Drosophila melanogaster: one gene and its partner. Changing the gene in region 2 together with the main gene of any one other region gives a genetic interaction. Each region holds a gene or a part of one and is shown on either strand. Other genes may lie near its edges.

The links. A genetic interaction does not mean that the proteins touch.
Region 1: of Nf1 (region 2) and NAAT1, changing one suppresses a phenotype caused by changing the other (phenotypic suppression), as found in Drosophila melanogaster (one study listed by BioGRID).

Annotation. Positions count from the first base shown.
Region 1 is NC_004354.4:5,407,387-5,414,926, forward strand, and holds the start of NAAT1 (nutrient amino acid transporter 1), read right to left. Parts: upstream 3,464-7,540; 5' UTR 3,181-3,463; coding exon 3,100-3,180; intron 542-3,099; coding exon 361-541; intron 307-360; coding exon 1-306. UniProt on the Drosophila melanogaster protein: Unusual broad substrate spectrum amino acid:sodium cotransporter that promotes absorption of the D isomers of essential amino acids. Neutral amino acids are the preferred substrates, especially methionine and phenylalanine.
Region 2 is NT_033777.3:25,977,073-25,984,612, reverse strand, and holds the start of Nf1 (neurofibromin 1), read right to left. Parts: upstream 1,601-7,540; 5' UTR 1,322-1,600; coding exon 1,265-1,321; intron 1,022-1,264; coding exon 878-1,021; intron 779-877; coding exon 394-778; intron 339-393; coding exon 197-338; intron 141-196; coding exon 1-140. Other genes in the region: fid (fire dancer), read right to left, coding at 3,316-6,468, 6,536-6,946.

The DNA.
Region 1 (7,540 bases), on a different chromosome or scaffold from region 2:
TTCTGGCCGATTCATTGGCCAAGGATACGCCCGTAAGCAGATTGTCCACATACTCCTGCGGCCTCGAGTTCACGCAATTGGTCCACTCATCGCGACAGTAGGACCACGGCAATTCCGATTGGAAGGACACAAAGAGATAGTAGAGGGTCAGCGCCAACAGCGAGGAATAGTACGAGATGATGCAGATGGTGCCGAAGGCCTGGCCATAGCCCACGCCCACAAATCCCGGCACCACCGACCAAATCTTCACCGTTCCCTGGCTCGTGAACTGGCCCATGATCATCTCCAAATAGTACATGGGTTTGCCTGGAAAACCAAAAGTTTAGTATAACCAGTGATGGACGATGCCATGCATCGCACCGATCAGAAAGAGCACTATGATGTAGGGTATAAGGAAGGCGCCTCCTCCATTCTCATAGGCCGTGAACGGGAACCTCCAGACGTTGCCCAATCCCACGGACACCGATATGCAGGACATTAGAAACTCCAGGCCATTGCCCCAATTGGTGCGCTCCGCCGTCGGCTTCTCGGCATCTGTTTTCTGCAATGGAGCGGAATTTCCAATCTTGATGAGCAAATATGCGTGATATCGCAATTCGGGGAATATAAGATTTAATGCCAACAGCAAAATACCAGACACATGTCCAAATATTTGTGCATCCATCCAAGCCACGAGTCTGGGACTCATGGGCAAACACGATCGCGTCATGCGTGCGGCATTTCCAAATCCAATTGCAGATAACTACAATGGACATGTGAAACTAATGCGCCACAACCATAATTTGGAATATTTATCTTAGTGCGCCCAATTACGATTAGATTAGAATCACTTTGAAGTACACACTTAAGAAAGGCGCCCAGCTTATCGATCCCGCCATTAAGTAAGTAAGTAATTCAAGTACTATTCATGTGCAATGCAAACTATTCACCGATCGAGAATGAATCATATCGATAGCAAATTGAATATCTTTCAATGCGTTTTTAAATTGATTTAATATAGTCATTGCGGCTTTTTCCCGTGATTACCTCAGCTAAATTCAATTAATACTCGATTAAGGGAAAAGCAAAACTTAACTGCTGCACAACTTGGAAAAGTTCCCCGGCAAAATGCCTAATGGACTGGAATGGATTCTCATTCATAACGATTTACATTCAGGGAATGCATGCATGTCTTATCTTCAAATCAAGCTATAAAATTGTTTAAATAAATTAGTATGTTAATTATATAATTAATTCTAGTTGATGACTGAGTCACAATTTCAATGCCTAAATTGAAAAATTTCAACACAAATTACTTTCGTTCGTGAAAACATCTGTCGTTGATAATTGTAACGTGGGCAAATAAAAAAAAGGCACTTATTTTCAAGAATAGAAACGCCATAAAATGTTAAGATGTTTTTGGTTTTTCTTCTAATTTCAATTAAAAGGGCAGAAACAGTTGGGCAAATGAACAGATGATGTAGTTGTTGTTAAAATTCCCAAAAATTAATTTACATTACACTACTGCGTTCGAAAATTACTATTATTATTTGTAATAATATGATTGCCATTTGGCGAAATCTATTTCCATCTATTTGCACGACAGCCACAATTGTTTTTGTATTTTTTTTTTTGTTTTTTATCAGAGGGCTGACAACGCGGTAACTGTTTTGCCGCTTACATATTTGCTCATTCGGGGAAAAAGCTGTTTAAATAAAACAATAACTCAGCTGGCCGAGTGGGCGGGCAATTACGAACGAAGTTAAATGGCAAAGAAACTGCATCATCATAGATACATAGATATGTATCCGCCAGTACGGTATCTATGAAATAGCCGAAACCCATGTGTGTTTGCTTATCCCATTTTATCTGCAAAGCCAAAGGCTCTCATTACCTTTCCATTAAGAAATTTATATATATAGTATCTATATCTATACATAAATATCTACCAGCTGGCTGTTGAACCTCAAACAAACTCGCATAATTGTGGGGTTTTTTTTTCTGCGTGCTGGGAAAAATTCTATCTTGGGAATCGCCTTAATTGCATTTGCCATCAATAAAACCTATGCTGACCGCACTTTAATGAGGCTTTGTTTTGGTCTGTCAATGTCACTCTGTGCGGGGGGATAACCCTGTAATTTAAATCAACTATAAGTATAAATCTTAACGATCTGTGCAGCATCTGCATTTTGCATGCAAACAGGCTGAGTTCTAAGGGGAATTACCTATAACCATATTATAGATATATATTCATATATATGTATATATTTATAGAAACTAAAGTTTTTAATCACCCGCAAGAACCAATTCTATATATCTTCGTATCTTTGTAACTTTTTTTTTTTACAATACTTTCTCGGAAATGCTGTAATATATAATAGAGGGCTGCAAAGTGAACCTGTCACTCCACCGAGCACTCGCCTATATATATTATAGCTTCGTCATATGTTTATGGCTGCTGCAGTGAAAACTGGTTTCCAGCTCTTCGGCCATATAGCGAGTATAGTACAGTATAGTACGGTATAGTACGGTATAGTACACTATAGCCTATTATAGTATAGCTTTCGCTGATCTCGAGCCGTACGCTAAGTTATGGCCAGATAACTAACGTTTTCGGTTCATTCTTCGGCTGAAAATAGCTCTAAGATACATTTATGTGTCGCTGGGTATCGTAAAGCGTATAAGATATGCATGGAGTAACCGGCTGACAAAGTCTTTCACCCCACATTGGGGTGGACCGTAAATCGCATATTCGTTTGTCGGTCGATTGGCCTGCAATTAAGGTCTAACAGCCTTAATGATCATAAAGTCATTTGGCGATTGTAAAGCCAGAAACACTGAGCGAATTGCAAGGACGGTTGTGAAGAAGGGCCAATCAAAGCATAATTTCGGGGTAAAAGTCCATTGAAGTTTTATAAAGTTTATTGCATGGGAAATGTTTCTTCACAGTGTACATTGTGAAACTTTCATGCACCACACGGCGTATACTTAATGTTCCAACTGTTGAACACTGCCTTCTTCTAATCTGAATCGCTGGCCACTTGAGTTCTTCAAGTGCCACTCGAAAGCAATTCCATTAGGGATACTATTAATTGCCTGATTTCATGGTCTAACACTTACTTCCGTTGATGCAGCATTGGTGGCTCCATTTCCACTTCCATTTGAGCTGCCATTCGATGGCTGAACTCCTTTCAATTCCATTTTTCTAGCCACTTGTTAATTTTCCCGGTTAATGAAAACAGTTGACGGCTACTCGCGTTTTGCTTATTTAATTACTAATTATTTATTTTTTTTTTTTTTGTTAATAGTAATTAGCACATTGCATTTGGCCAGCCCTTGGTTACGGTTGGTTGGGTTAGCGTCCAACTGCAGTTTCAGGGTTTAGTTTTCTGTAATATTTTCGTAATTTGGGCTGTGGATTTTGGCTACTTGGCGGTGCTGGAGGCGCGCTTGTGGTGCCGTGAATGCCGCGGCTGGAACTGAGAATATTGCGAGTGCCGGCCGCTTTAAGAACCGCCAAAGTCAAGCAGCGTTTTGCCAGCGCTCAGCAGGTAATAAGCGTGAAATTATTCACACACATATAGCCGTATAGCCGTGCTTTGTAGAGAAAATCAGCGGTAGTACCTGACTGGCTGGTACCTAAGTGCCCAGTACCTAGTACCCAGTACCCAGTACCCAGTACGCAGTACCCAATCCCCAATCCCCAGCCCCCCAGTGCTCGATTAGGAATGGGGAAAACAAACTTCGGTTGCTCTTCGTTGGGCGATCGTTGATGATATCGGAGATTCCAGCGCTCGGATAAGGAAGTATCCGCCGAGAAGCTGAAGACATCAGCACGGCGTTTACCCAAAAATATAGTCTGCACTCGAAGAGAAAATGCTGCAAGATGTTATAAAACGAGTAAATAAGTCATTGGGTAAATGTTTTCCATTTGTGAATTATCTACCAGCGCTCCATTCAAATTACCCAATGCGATAAGCTGGGAATTCCACGTTACTTGATGAGCTGCCGCTGGATAAATTTATGAAGTGATCTTTTTCTCTGCGTGTAGGTAAGGAAATCCCGAACGTGAGCTCTTTTTTGCTGATTAACTCACGAAGATCGTTGATAGAACATAGAGAGCAGATACGGCGATAGGGGAACATAGATATAACTATATATGGGGATGCCAGGATCTTATCAACCCAAATCGATCATTGCGGCCAACATAGGCGGGGTCCACTGTACGACGCGGTGAGTGAAACACTTGGTACTTCGATAAAAACCGGCAGGCCAAAATGGTCAGCAGTAGTAAATAACTTCAGATAGACGGACCCGCCAGACCCAGACACAGTAAAAGCACTTTATGAACTTATCCGAACCGGCCGTGACTGGACATTTTCCACACTGATTAGGTGAAACCACCACGAAGTGACCAATCAATTGAAAAGGAAACGAAAACAGAACCGTAGACAAAACCAATTAGGAGTCGATAATCGCTGGGGTAATTAGGCTGGCTGGTACATATAGATTCGGAAGAATTCCACTCAATGGTCAATGAAAGTTTTACGATCCAAAGACCGCTTCTGACCAGTTTCACAGTTTCACAAGCAAATCTCTGGCCACCAACTCTGACGCAGAGTTCTCCACCTCCAGCTGCAAGTTCGATATCGCAATCGTTTTATATCCAAGAGATCGTCGTGCAGCCAACGAGCCAACCAGACGATCATCGAATAGTACATTAGTGCGGCAATCAAGGCTTTCTTTGATCGATTGCATGGAGGGAATCATGGGAATCGGATATTGGACATTATTGGGGGGATCGCAAACAATATGAAGCTAGCAACTTCCTTATCGCGGCCATCACGTCAATTCAGCTTTTCGGATAAGAACCTTACCCTGACACGGGTAAGTACATGAATTATAAAATTAGTTGGCACGTTTAGCCGGGCGGATCCATAAAAGTGGCGATATCACTTCCTGGGATAACGAACCACCCCCCCCCCCCCACAACGATCCAGATGAAACACCGTTTTTTTTACTTTTCAATAATATTTTATTTTAATGTACTTGCATTATATTTAGTTAATAACTAGATTTGTAAATTATTCTCACTTGAATGCGTCTATAAATTAAATCTTATTCGTAACTCTCGTCTCTCAGCATTACTAGATAAGAAAAAAAAATAGAAGTACCACACACTTACGATGATCTTTGAGGGAGGACTCTTCACTTCACGTCTCTTCTTCTCTTCTCGCTATCGACTAAGATTAGTTTCAATATGTGCTCTACATCATGTCTGTCGTGTTTGCATTATCTCTATGTCAGTTAATCAGTTATCAGTTAATCAGTTTATCAACAATTGTACAAGTGACAAATCTACAATGAATTCGATAGAACACCGAGAACGTTGACAACTCTGGTGCATGCAAAAATTGAAATCCTACTCCCTTCATCTAGTTGAATGCTTCATTTAAAAGTAACCAATAATATGTATTTAGTGTTCCATAGACTAAAATGTAGTTCGAATTTCCAAAGGCATTAAACGACATTATTAAAACGAGGAACCATTAAACGAATTTGCACTACAGTGTGTGGAGGGCAGCCCCTCCAAAAGTTGTTTTAGTTTAGGATAACAATTAGAATGAATTTGCTTTAATTATCAAGAAGGATCTAAAAACAAACAGCAAAAAAAGAGGTAATAATAATAATAGTTATAATAATAATAATAATAACGGTATAATGATAGCGTTAACTAGAATATTTGTAGACTACCGTTGAAGAAGAAAAAACACCTCCAAAGTCTTTCATGTTGACCAAATAGATGGATATTGTGTGGATCATCACTTGTACATTATATTATCTAAGTAATTTAATTATGACGATGACGACATGAGAACGATGACGACGACTTATTAAGCTGAATTGTGATTGAGCCTGAAATCTTTTTTTGAAACGATTTATAAATGTTTATATAGTAATTCCGTTGCTGCCGATCAATGTAAAATGTCAATGTAAAATACAATGAATGATACAGTGAAATAAAACTCTATTTTCAATCTCAACAAAATAAATATGATTAATTTCTTTGTTGATTTATTAGTGTGTGTTTGTGTGTTATATTGTGTTATCGATGTGTTGTTGATGCTGTTGTGGCTGTGCTACACTTAGAACAATTCTAGCTAATATTGCTGCTAGGCTAGACACCCAGAATTGGTAGCTTAAGCGATAAGTTTGCAACAATTCGCTTGCTTGCTTCTTCTTGTCGCTTCAAGAAGTTTCCTCTTCCATATACAAAAGAAGTTTGAAAGAAAGGCATTTTGAGGTTTTCACTCCTTCTTTTCAATAGGCTAGTTTTGGTAGCAACAATCATTGTTTCTCATTTGTTTTTGCATTTCTTTGTCTGTCGAAATGGATTTTATTTACAATGGGTTTGTTTTGGGGAAAAAGTAGCCATTTCTGTTTTTTTTTCTTTTTTTTTTGTTAATTATTGTGTTTGTTGTTTTGCTTGTTATGTTGGTTATGTTTAATGTTGGTTTGTTGTCTAACAATGGCACACACGCATATATAATTATGAAGAATTCGTAACGTCACTCTGTCTCTGCTTTTAAATGGTTTCTTTCTTTGTTAGGCATTCTGTGGCTTTAGTGCGGGTGTGAGTTATTTTTGGGTTGGGAATTTTGAATACATTTTCTGATTACAGTTTGAATACAAATTAACAAAAAAAAAAAAATGTATAATGCATGTAAATGTATGAACTCGTCGATTAGATATTATCAGTTGTTTAAAAAGGCCTAATATAATATTTACAGATCTCAGCAAATAGCAGCATAAAACTAAAGTTTTGTCAGGTTTTTCTCCATTCTTATCCAGAGTTTCTATGTTTCTGTGTTTCTGTTTTTCTGTATATCTGATGAACGCATGGTATTTTAGTTGGGTCTATTTAGTATGTTCTTTGTTTTTTTTTCGCATCTCGTTCTCGTTATAAAATCTATGTACATTATTTAGTAATGCCTACTTATAAACTGAGTATAGTAATATCTGCAGCTCCAGTCGATCCGTTGCATGCCCGCCCGCCCATGTGTTGCCATGTGGTCACAAAACGCATAACCCAGCTGATCCCTAACTTCCCCCTCCATTTTGGTATCCAATTCTGGACAGTCAACAAACAAACGTTTGTCTTGTTGTGTAATGTGTATGGGTTAGTGTGGTGTTAGGTGCTCTTACTCATATATGCGTGTGTGTGTGTGTGTGTGTGTGTGTGTATTTGGCGAGTGTGTGTTGTTTGTTATGTAATGATTAAGGGGCTCTCTCTGGGCTCAGTCGCAATCTAAACAACGTAACAAACGTTTCATTTTCTTTGTTTTGAGGCCTCTGCACTTGCCAGTTCTTTTGGAATCGGGCAATTGCTATTTGCTGTGTGCTACATGCTACATGCTAACTGCAAAAGCTGCTAACGAAATCCTTAATCCGAATCCGCATCTTGGAGCCTGTTGCGCAATACTCAAGCATTCCTTTTTTGTTGCACCGCCAAGTTGCTTGATTTGGGTTTGAGTGATTGTTGTTTAAGTTTGCTTTTAAG
Region 2 (7,540 bases):
GCTGAAGTTCGTTAACAACAGCCTCAAGGCAAGAGGGATTCAATATCAGCAAGAGCATTTGAAGCGGCCAAACAAGAGTCTTGCTTTTCTTGTTTTCGGTTTTAAAGTACTCTACAAAGTCCATCAGGGGTTCCCAGCAGCTAAACGAAACAGGATCAATTAATGTGACTTTAAAAACGCTTGTAATTCCTCTTACGTTGATATATCTCGATTGGTTCCTCGTTGCAAGTCCTGGAACTCTTGTGGATGGTACTCGATCCAGTTCCAAATAGCCTTCTCCAGCGAGTAAAGCAAGATCAAAGGTGGAGCACGCTTCGATCGAAACTTTGTGATGGTTTCTGGAAACGTAAAACGTTGTTTAACCTTTCCGAAATATTAAAAAAGTTAGTTTACCTTGTAGCAGCTTGGTTAGCTTTATCATATCCATATCGATGTGTTGAATTAATTCTATGTCGTTGTAGTCCGGGTTTTCCTCGGAACAGGATGTCAGCTCTTGAATCCTGGCCGATATGCGATTGAACACCGCCGAGAAGTGATTCTGGGACAAGGCAAAGAGCACCTTGGATGCCAGGGCCTTGAGCTGGGCGGCATTCGGATTGCTGTCGCTCTGGACGTCGACAAACTGGGAGATCTCGCGCAGCAGAAGCTTCACATTCATGGCCTCTTCAAAACGTGCTGTGTCCTTGGTCTGGTTGGTCAGACAGCGTTCCAGAGTGGTCAGTATGATGACCAGCGACTCAAAGTAGCAACGCTCTGGCTCATGGCGATTTTGAAGGGCCTGCAATGAAATTTTTGTTTAAGTAATTTAATCGTATCCTAGCCCCATAAAATAAGGCAACATAGTTTAAGGGTTAACAATAGAGAATGGAGTACTTACCGCCTCATTGACCCTCTGCAGCATCTTGGTGAGACCGGATATGACAAGGGAGAAGCGGTAGCGCGATATGTGGATCAGACAGGCCACCAATTGGTCCTGGCTCATCCTGGCCTGCGTGCCATAGGCACCGATTCTGTTTGGCAGCTGAAAAAGTAAACCATTGATTGCTCAATTCCACTTCATTCATGCGGGAACCGGTGTTTTTGTTATTGTTGCTATCTCGCTCTCCCACGCATTTGATTGAGAGCTCACACTGACAGAGCGGGTGAGGCACGCACACTCGCAAGGTCGCTGTGAGCATGTGTGGGGGAGGAAGAGGCAGAGCAGCAGGTACATTTTTTCGCTTGCGAAAACGCAACTGCGGAAAAGCGATTGGAAAACACTTGCCTGATCCTCGAAACGTGCCAAAAGGGCGCTAGCCCACTCGCCTGGCTTCTGGGTCATCTTGTTGTGGTGTTTTAACAGTTGTTTATGCGTTTTTTACTGCATTTCAGCAACTAAATAGGGCAGCTTTTCGTTGAGCTTGGGGAGTGGCAATTGGTTGAGTGGCATCTTTGTTCGTTATCCTTGGTGTTTTTTTCAGTTCCTGAGACGTTCACTTCCTTCTCTTCCAACAATTTGGATGGTTTGGCTTTACAAAACGGGCACTGTTTCTTTTTTTATGGGAATTTTCTAAGGGCTTACAGGCTGTTATTTGGATGTTTATATTGTGTGTGTACCGCCTTCCATTTCTTTCACAATACCGAAACGCTTTTATAAGTGATAACAATTACATCCTATCGATATATCGCTTATTTTCAAATAGTGATGGCATCAGACCAACTAGTACTGAATTCATTAGGGTGACCATAAGCCACAAGTAAATGCGCGCGCTCACAGGAGCGTTTAAAAATTCCAAAAATATTTGGCCTTCATTTCGTTCTATCTCATTTGATGCTATTATTTTATATGGTCTAAGTGTTCCAATTAGAAATATAAATGATTTTTAAAACAGATTCAGTTCAGTAAGTATTATTAGTTTATTTAATGTTGTTGTTAATGCATTACAAATTATCAATATTAAATATTTCAGATGGTTTTGTAGCTTGGGTTTTGAGTTAATTCCGTTTGAGTGTGCCTGTTTGGCTCTGTGCAAATTATACATATTTTCCAGCAATACTTAATGTTTATAATGTTTCAGCATTTCGAGCAGTAATAGGTTCAAATCGAGTTCTATCTGTTGTAATTTAGTGTTGCGTCCAACGTTAGTTAATATTTATTCAATTGTTCTATTATTTTACGGTATAAAGTTAGTTTAGCTAGCTAAAAAACACATGTACAGTCGCATATAGGTATATATATGTATATATTTGGTTTTATTGAAAATGTTTGCGTTATTTTTCAAATAACCCTTCTTAAGCTGACAAAAATTTGAGTTTAGGCATAGGCTTATGTTACAATCGTCTTATTGGCCGTTTTTGGGAAGTGAGTTGGGTACTTTATCCAATCAATTAAAGTAAATAAAAAAGTGCTTTAAAAAGGTGAAAAATTTATATATGTGGAAAATTGTGAGCTTGCGGAAAGAGTTTCTTAAACTGTTTTGTGTATATATTTTTGATTTTACTTTGCATTCGATATATGTACGGTTTTCTCATAGATTTAAATGCAGTTATTGATATTTTTAGAGGGTTCTATTAACTTTGCAGTTTTAAGGAGTGTATACATGCACGTACATAGTTGCTATATTACTTTGTTCTAGCTGCTTAACTGGTATCTTGATTTTCTCTTGTATAAGTGGTATATGTTGGCTGCAATGGACGTTTGATGATTATTCGCTTCGAAATTATAGCATAAAGTGCTTGAAACTTAGTCTGCAGATAGCGCAAGATACAAACAGATGATCGTTGTAAATAGAATATGCTCGTATAACTAGTAAGATTTGTATTTAGCTTGCGTTGTTTCGTTATCGCATTCGATTCGATTGGTTTCGTTCTTACAGCTAAGTTTTCCTTTGAAATTGGATTTCAATGCAGTGCAATCCTGCGTTCGCGTCCTTGAGCAGGCCTGCTAACAATAAATTAGTGCTGGATAGCAGGACGGGCCTTCCCCGCCCCGCACCGCCAGCCGACTAGAGTAATAGACTAAATTTAACAATTCCTTTGGGGGCATCAGATCAGAGACTACAGCTAGGAAATGGGCATTTGTTTTAGATCAGGGATTCAAACGGGTAAACGGGTACGCCTTGAAAAAATCAAAAAAGCTGCTTGGATTTTGAATGTCCTAAAAAGATATTCAAGTGTTTTTGTAGAGCAACTTAAAATGTATTAGATGCGTATAAAAAAATGTAATTCAAAGTAATTTAACGTATATCCTTTAAATATTTGGTATACATGCTTCGGTCCCAGTAATAGCAAATAAACTTAAGTTTCGTTTCGAATCCCCGTTTGAGAGTTGGGTGCTTAGATGGTCCACACCTGAACCTTCTCGGCCACCACACACCAGCTGGCCCGCTCGTAGTAGGAGCTAACGATGTGCAGGCTGGCCACATGGTGGTTGATCAGTGCGTCCAGCTCGCCCTCGCGGAACACATGGTAGTAGCGGTGGTGTGTGCTGGCTCCGCCCTGGGAGGGGCTGTCCAGGGAGTTGGTGGAGCTGTTCGAGTGCTCCAGGGAATCGTTGGAGGGACGCTGCTGGAGATTCGGTGCCTGGTTTGGCTCCTTCTGAGGTTGCTGCTGCTGCTGCTGGGTCGTCGGTGGTTGGACCTTCAGGGCAGCCATGTTGCGCCTGCGCTGGCCATAGTCCGACATGCCTTCGCCCAACTGATCACCGCCTCGGGCCTCCAGAGCCTCTGCCTCTGCATCCTCATCCTGTTCCTCCTGCTCCTCCTCCTCTGGTATGACATCGTCTTCATCCTCGCGCACATCACTATCCCCATCGTCCTGCAGCAGGTAGGCTGTCTCCGGATTCAGCTGATAGTGTCGATTCCTCTTGTAGTTGAACTTGGAGATCTTGCAGTGCTCATAAACGCCCAGGGAGTAGCTGGACTCGTTCTCCTCCTCCTCCTCTTCCTCACCATCCTCTTCCTGGATGGTGAAGCTGCGGGTTTGGGAGGATAGTGATGAGGTCGATGAGCTCACCGGGGATTGCTGCAGACTTGGCTGCGTGGAGAGGTTAGCAAGCATCAAGCGACGTTCCCTGAGCTCATCCCGGAAAGCACTCAGATCACCATTAGAGCGCTTCTTACCGCCACCCAAGATCTCGGACAGATCGCCCATTCCGATCCCATCCAGATACCGGCACTCAGTTCGATTTGTTTTGTCATCCAGTTCCCGCTGCAGTTGGGCACTCAGCTGTTCCGCGAATTCTGCGCAGTCCTGCTTTTGAACGGCCTCCCTCTTTTCGGGGAGGAGAGGGGCACTATCTGCATTCAGGATTATATCATCTTCGGCATGGGAGCGAGAACTATTGATCTGAAGCTCCCCTTTATGGTACTGCTCCTGCTGCAGACTGATGAGCTGCGCCAAGCTGGGTTCTCCTTCGTCCTGCGAGGCCGAATTGGAGTTCGCGGAGGCGGCTTCTCCTTCCTCACTTCCCGAGGGTACTTTGGCCGATCTTGGTGCACTTATAACGCTGTCTATGGAATCAGGGGAGGAGGGCTCACTGGAATCGCTGTCCAGATCATCGGTGGCTGGATTAAAGAGCTCCAGGGAGAGCAGCTTGGTAGCCAGCGATGTGGTGGATGCTGAAGTAGACACGCCCGATCCCGAAGCTCGCCTAACGATGGGAAAGCTCTGACGTTGTAGCTGTAGAGATTGCTGTTTCCGGAATTTCGGAATGGGTGGCAGATCTCTAATGGCCTGGCGGGTGATTCTACGTACAGGTGGCGATTCCTTCAGTGGTTCCTTTGGCAGCACCTTCAACGGCTCCTTTTTCTCCTTGGGTAGCTCCTTTTGCAGATCAACGTGCTGTTCCTTTTGCAGCTTGATGTGGGCCTCATCGAAGCTGAAACGAGCGGGTTTCGAGGGTGGCGTCAAGATGGCCATGGCAGCGGAAACGGCCGATGTGGATTGAGGCGGAGAAGTCACCGTGCCCTGGATGGCAGCCGGGGAATGAGCCGGAGTGGGAGGGCAGGGCATGATGAGCGGCGACGTTGGCACTGAGTGAGTAGGCGGCAATCGGGAGCCGGGATTCACCCCCTGATCCCGACCAGCAGCTCCCTGCGCCCTTTGTCCATTGCTGGAGGATGAATTGCTCGAGCTGGAGTTAGAGTTCTGGTGTTGCTGCTGGTAGTTCAACTGCTGCTGGTGCTGCTCCGGCTTGGGTATGAATATGACCGAAGCGAAGCTGTCCTCGGACTCAATACTTGTGTCCGATTGCAGGCTGCTGTCCTTGGAGGAGTCGGAACCGGATTCCCGGGAATGCCTTCTAGCCTTGTCACCCTGACCGCCATCCGCACAGGCGGGACACTCTTGCTGGTACTGGCTGCAGTGACAGAGATTGCTCATGGTGCACTCCACACTGCTGCAGTACGTCACAGGTGCCGAAGTCGAGGATGCGGGCAGAATTAAGTGCGACAGGTGATGAACAGGATGGTGGTGGTGGTGATGGTGGTGTTGATGAGCCGTCGCCGCCACTCCCTGCTTATTGTTATTATTCAGCGTGGCGTTTTTATCCAGTTGAACTGGATGCTGGGCAGGATTCGTCTGCGCCTGCGGTCCACTCTTGATGTTTTGGATCAGTTTACTTATGCCCGTCTTTGTCACCCTTTCTAGGCTGCCTGTCGAGCTCTTGATTTTGGTGGTGAAACCCTCACGGATTACCTGCAATCTTTTGGAGAACAGAGCTGATCTGCAGAGGAATGCTTCATTTAGCGAGGTTTGCTTTTGAATACGCTTGCGCACCCTCTCCTTTTCTCTCAATCGATTGCAGGCCATCAGATCCTCGTTAAGGGAACTTTGTTTGCGCAGGAACGTCGGCCCACCAGTGGGTCCGCCAGTTACTCCTCCTTCACCAGAATCACCCGAAGGAGGCGTGGCCGTCGCTGAGGCATGCTGATGGAAATTCCCGGCATAGCAGCCACTCTTTGTGTACAAACTGCTGCTTACCACGCCATTGGAGCCATTCAGGCTACTTACCACCTGAAAGGATTCGGGGGCGGGTGGAGTGGCAGCGTCATCATCGCACAAGGACTGCTTCTGCTTGATGAGCTTTGGTCTTCTGCTCAACGTATTCCCAGCACTTGCCGTGGTGGTGGGTGAATGTCTTCCATTCAGTTGGAGTTGCAGCTGAAGCTGCTGACTCTCCGGATTATTGAGTAGCAGAGCCGCGGCACTGGCTTTAGATTCACCAGGAATCAGAGGACCACCCAGACTGGGAACACTGGAGCGTGAGCGGACAATCTGGCGGGGTGGTGGCTGCAGAATGCTACCCAAACTGCGTGATTTGAGGCCGGCTGATAATGGCGGATCGGGAAAATCCTCAAAGTCCTCCAGGCGACGCAGCTCGATGGGCAGATCCTTGGCATCTTCGTAGTCCAAGCTGCTGTCGTTCTTGGTATCCTTTGACGACCACGAGTCCATGAACCACGCATGCCGGCGTCCACGGGCTAGTTTCTATGGTTTAAGAACATAATAATAATTACAAAATTATCAATTATGAGCGACAGAATCTTTGGTTTACCTGAATGGCCCGGCGAACAAAGCTGTAACAGGATTCCCCCGGCGAAGACGAACTAAGACTTGAGCTATCGCCATCTCCGGCCGATCGACTGGAATTCGTAGAGTCCTCGGTGTAGGCATGGTAAGGCGGCTGGAAATTGTCGTCGTCCTCCTCATCCGAGTAGGAGTAGTTTCGATTCTTTGGTGGCTGCCAGGGTATCAGCACATCCTGCGACTCGAAGCGTCGATGTCGTTGTTCCAGCGCCCACACGGTGATCACAACCCGACCACCGATCCTTAGGATCCTAGCCAATTCCCTGAGTGCCTGGACACGTCGCTCGGTAGTGGCAAAGTGGTGCACCACCGCCAGCGACAACACCGCATCGAAACTGTCGTCCCGGAAAGGCAGTTCCAGATTGTCGCACAGTGCCACCTGGAAAACATAACAATAAGGAGGTTTTCATTAACGCACATTATTCTTTGATATTAGCATTATTGGCATATTTAGTTTTCTCATGATTTTAATAATTTGATTGATTTTTGCGGACATAATGATTTCCCCAGGTGGTAGCCCAACACCACGAAACCAGCGATCCCCAGGGAAGCCATGCCAATTAAGCTGTGTCAAAGATAAGTCCTCGCAGGAGTCTCTTTGTGGGGTCAGAGCTGCCGACATCGTGCTCTTGTCGTTGAAATCGAGTCCTTGCCAGAAACCTCCCACGGGTGCTGCCCGCAAAAGTATGCTATTGAAATAGTGTAAGCTGCAGTAAGCAAAAGGAGATGATGCAATTTCAAGCTCCGGACAGGACCATCAATCGCCTTTGAGAAAGTTGAGCATTCAGGATAGATGGCAAGAAATAGAAAATTTCCATTTCAAAGCGATGCAACCTGATTGAATAATCCACAAGCAGTATCCCTTTCGGTTGGCTACATCATTTGGCAATTAGTAACTTTTCCTCGCTGGAAAAACAAAGTTATCTATGTGGGCGGCTGATTGCAAGTTGGCTTCGACCATTTGTCATTCAAA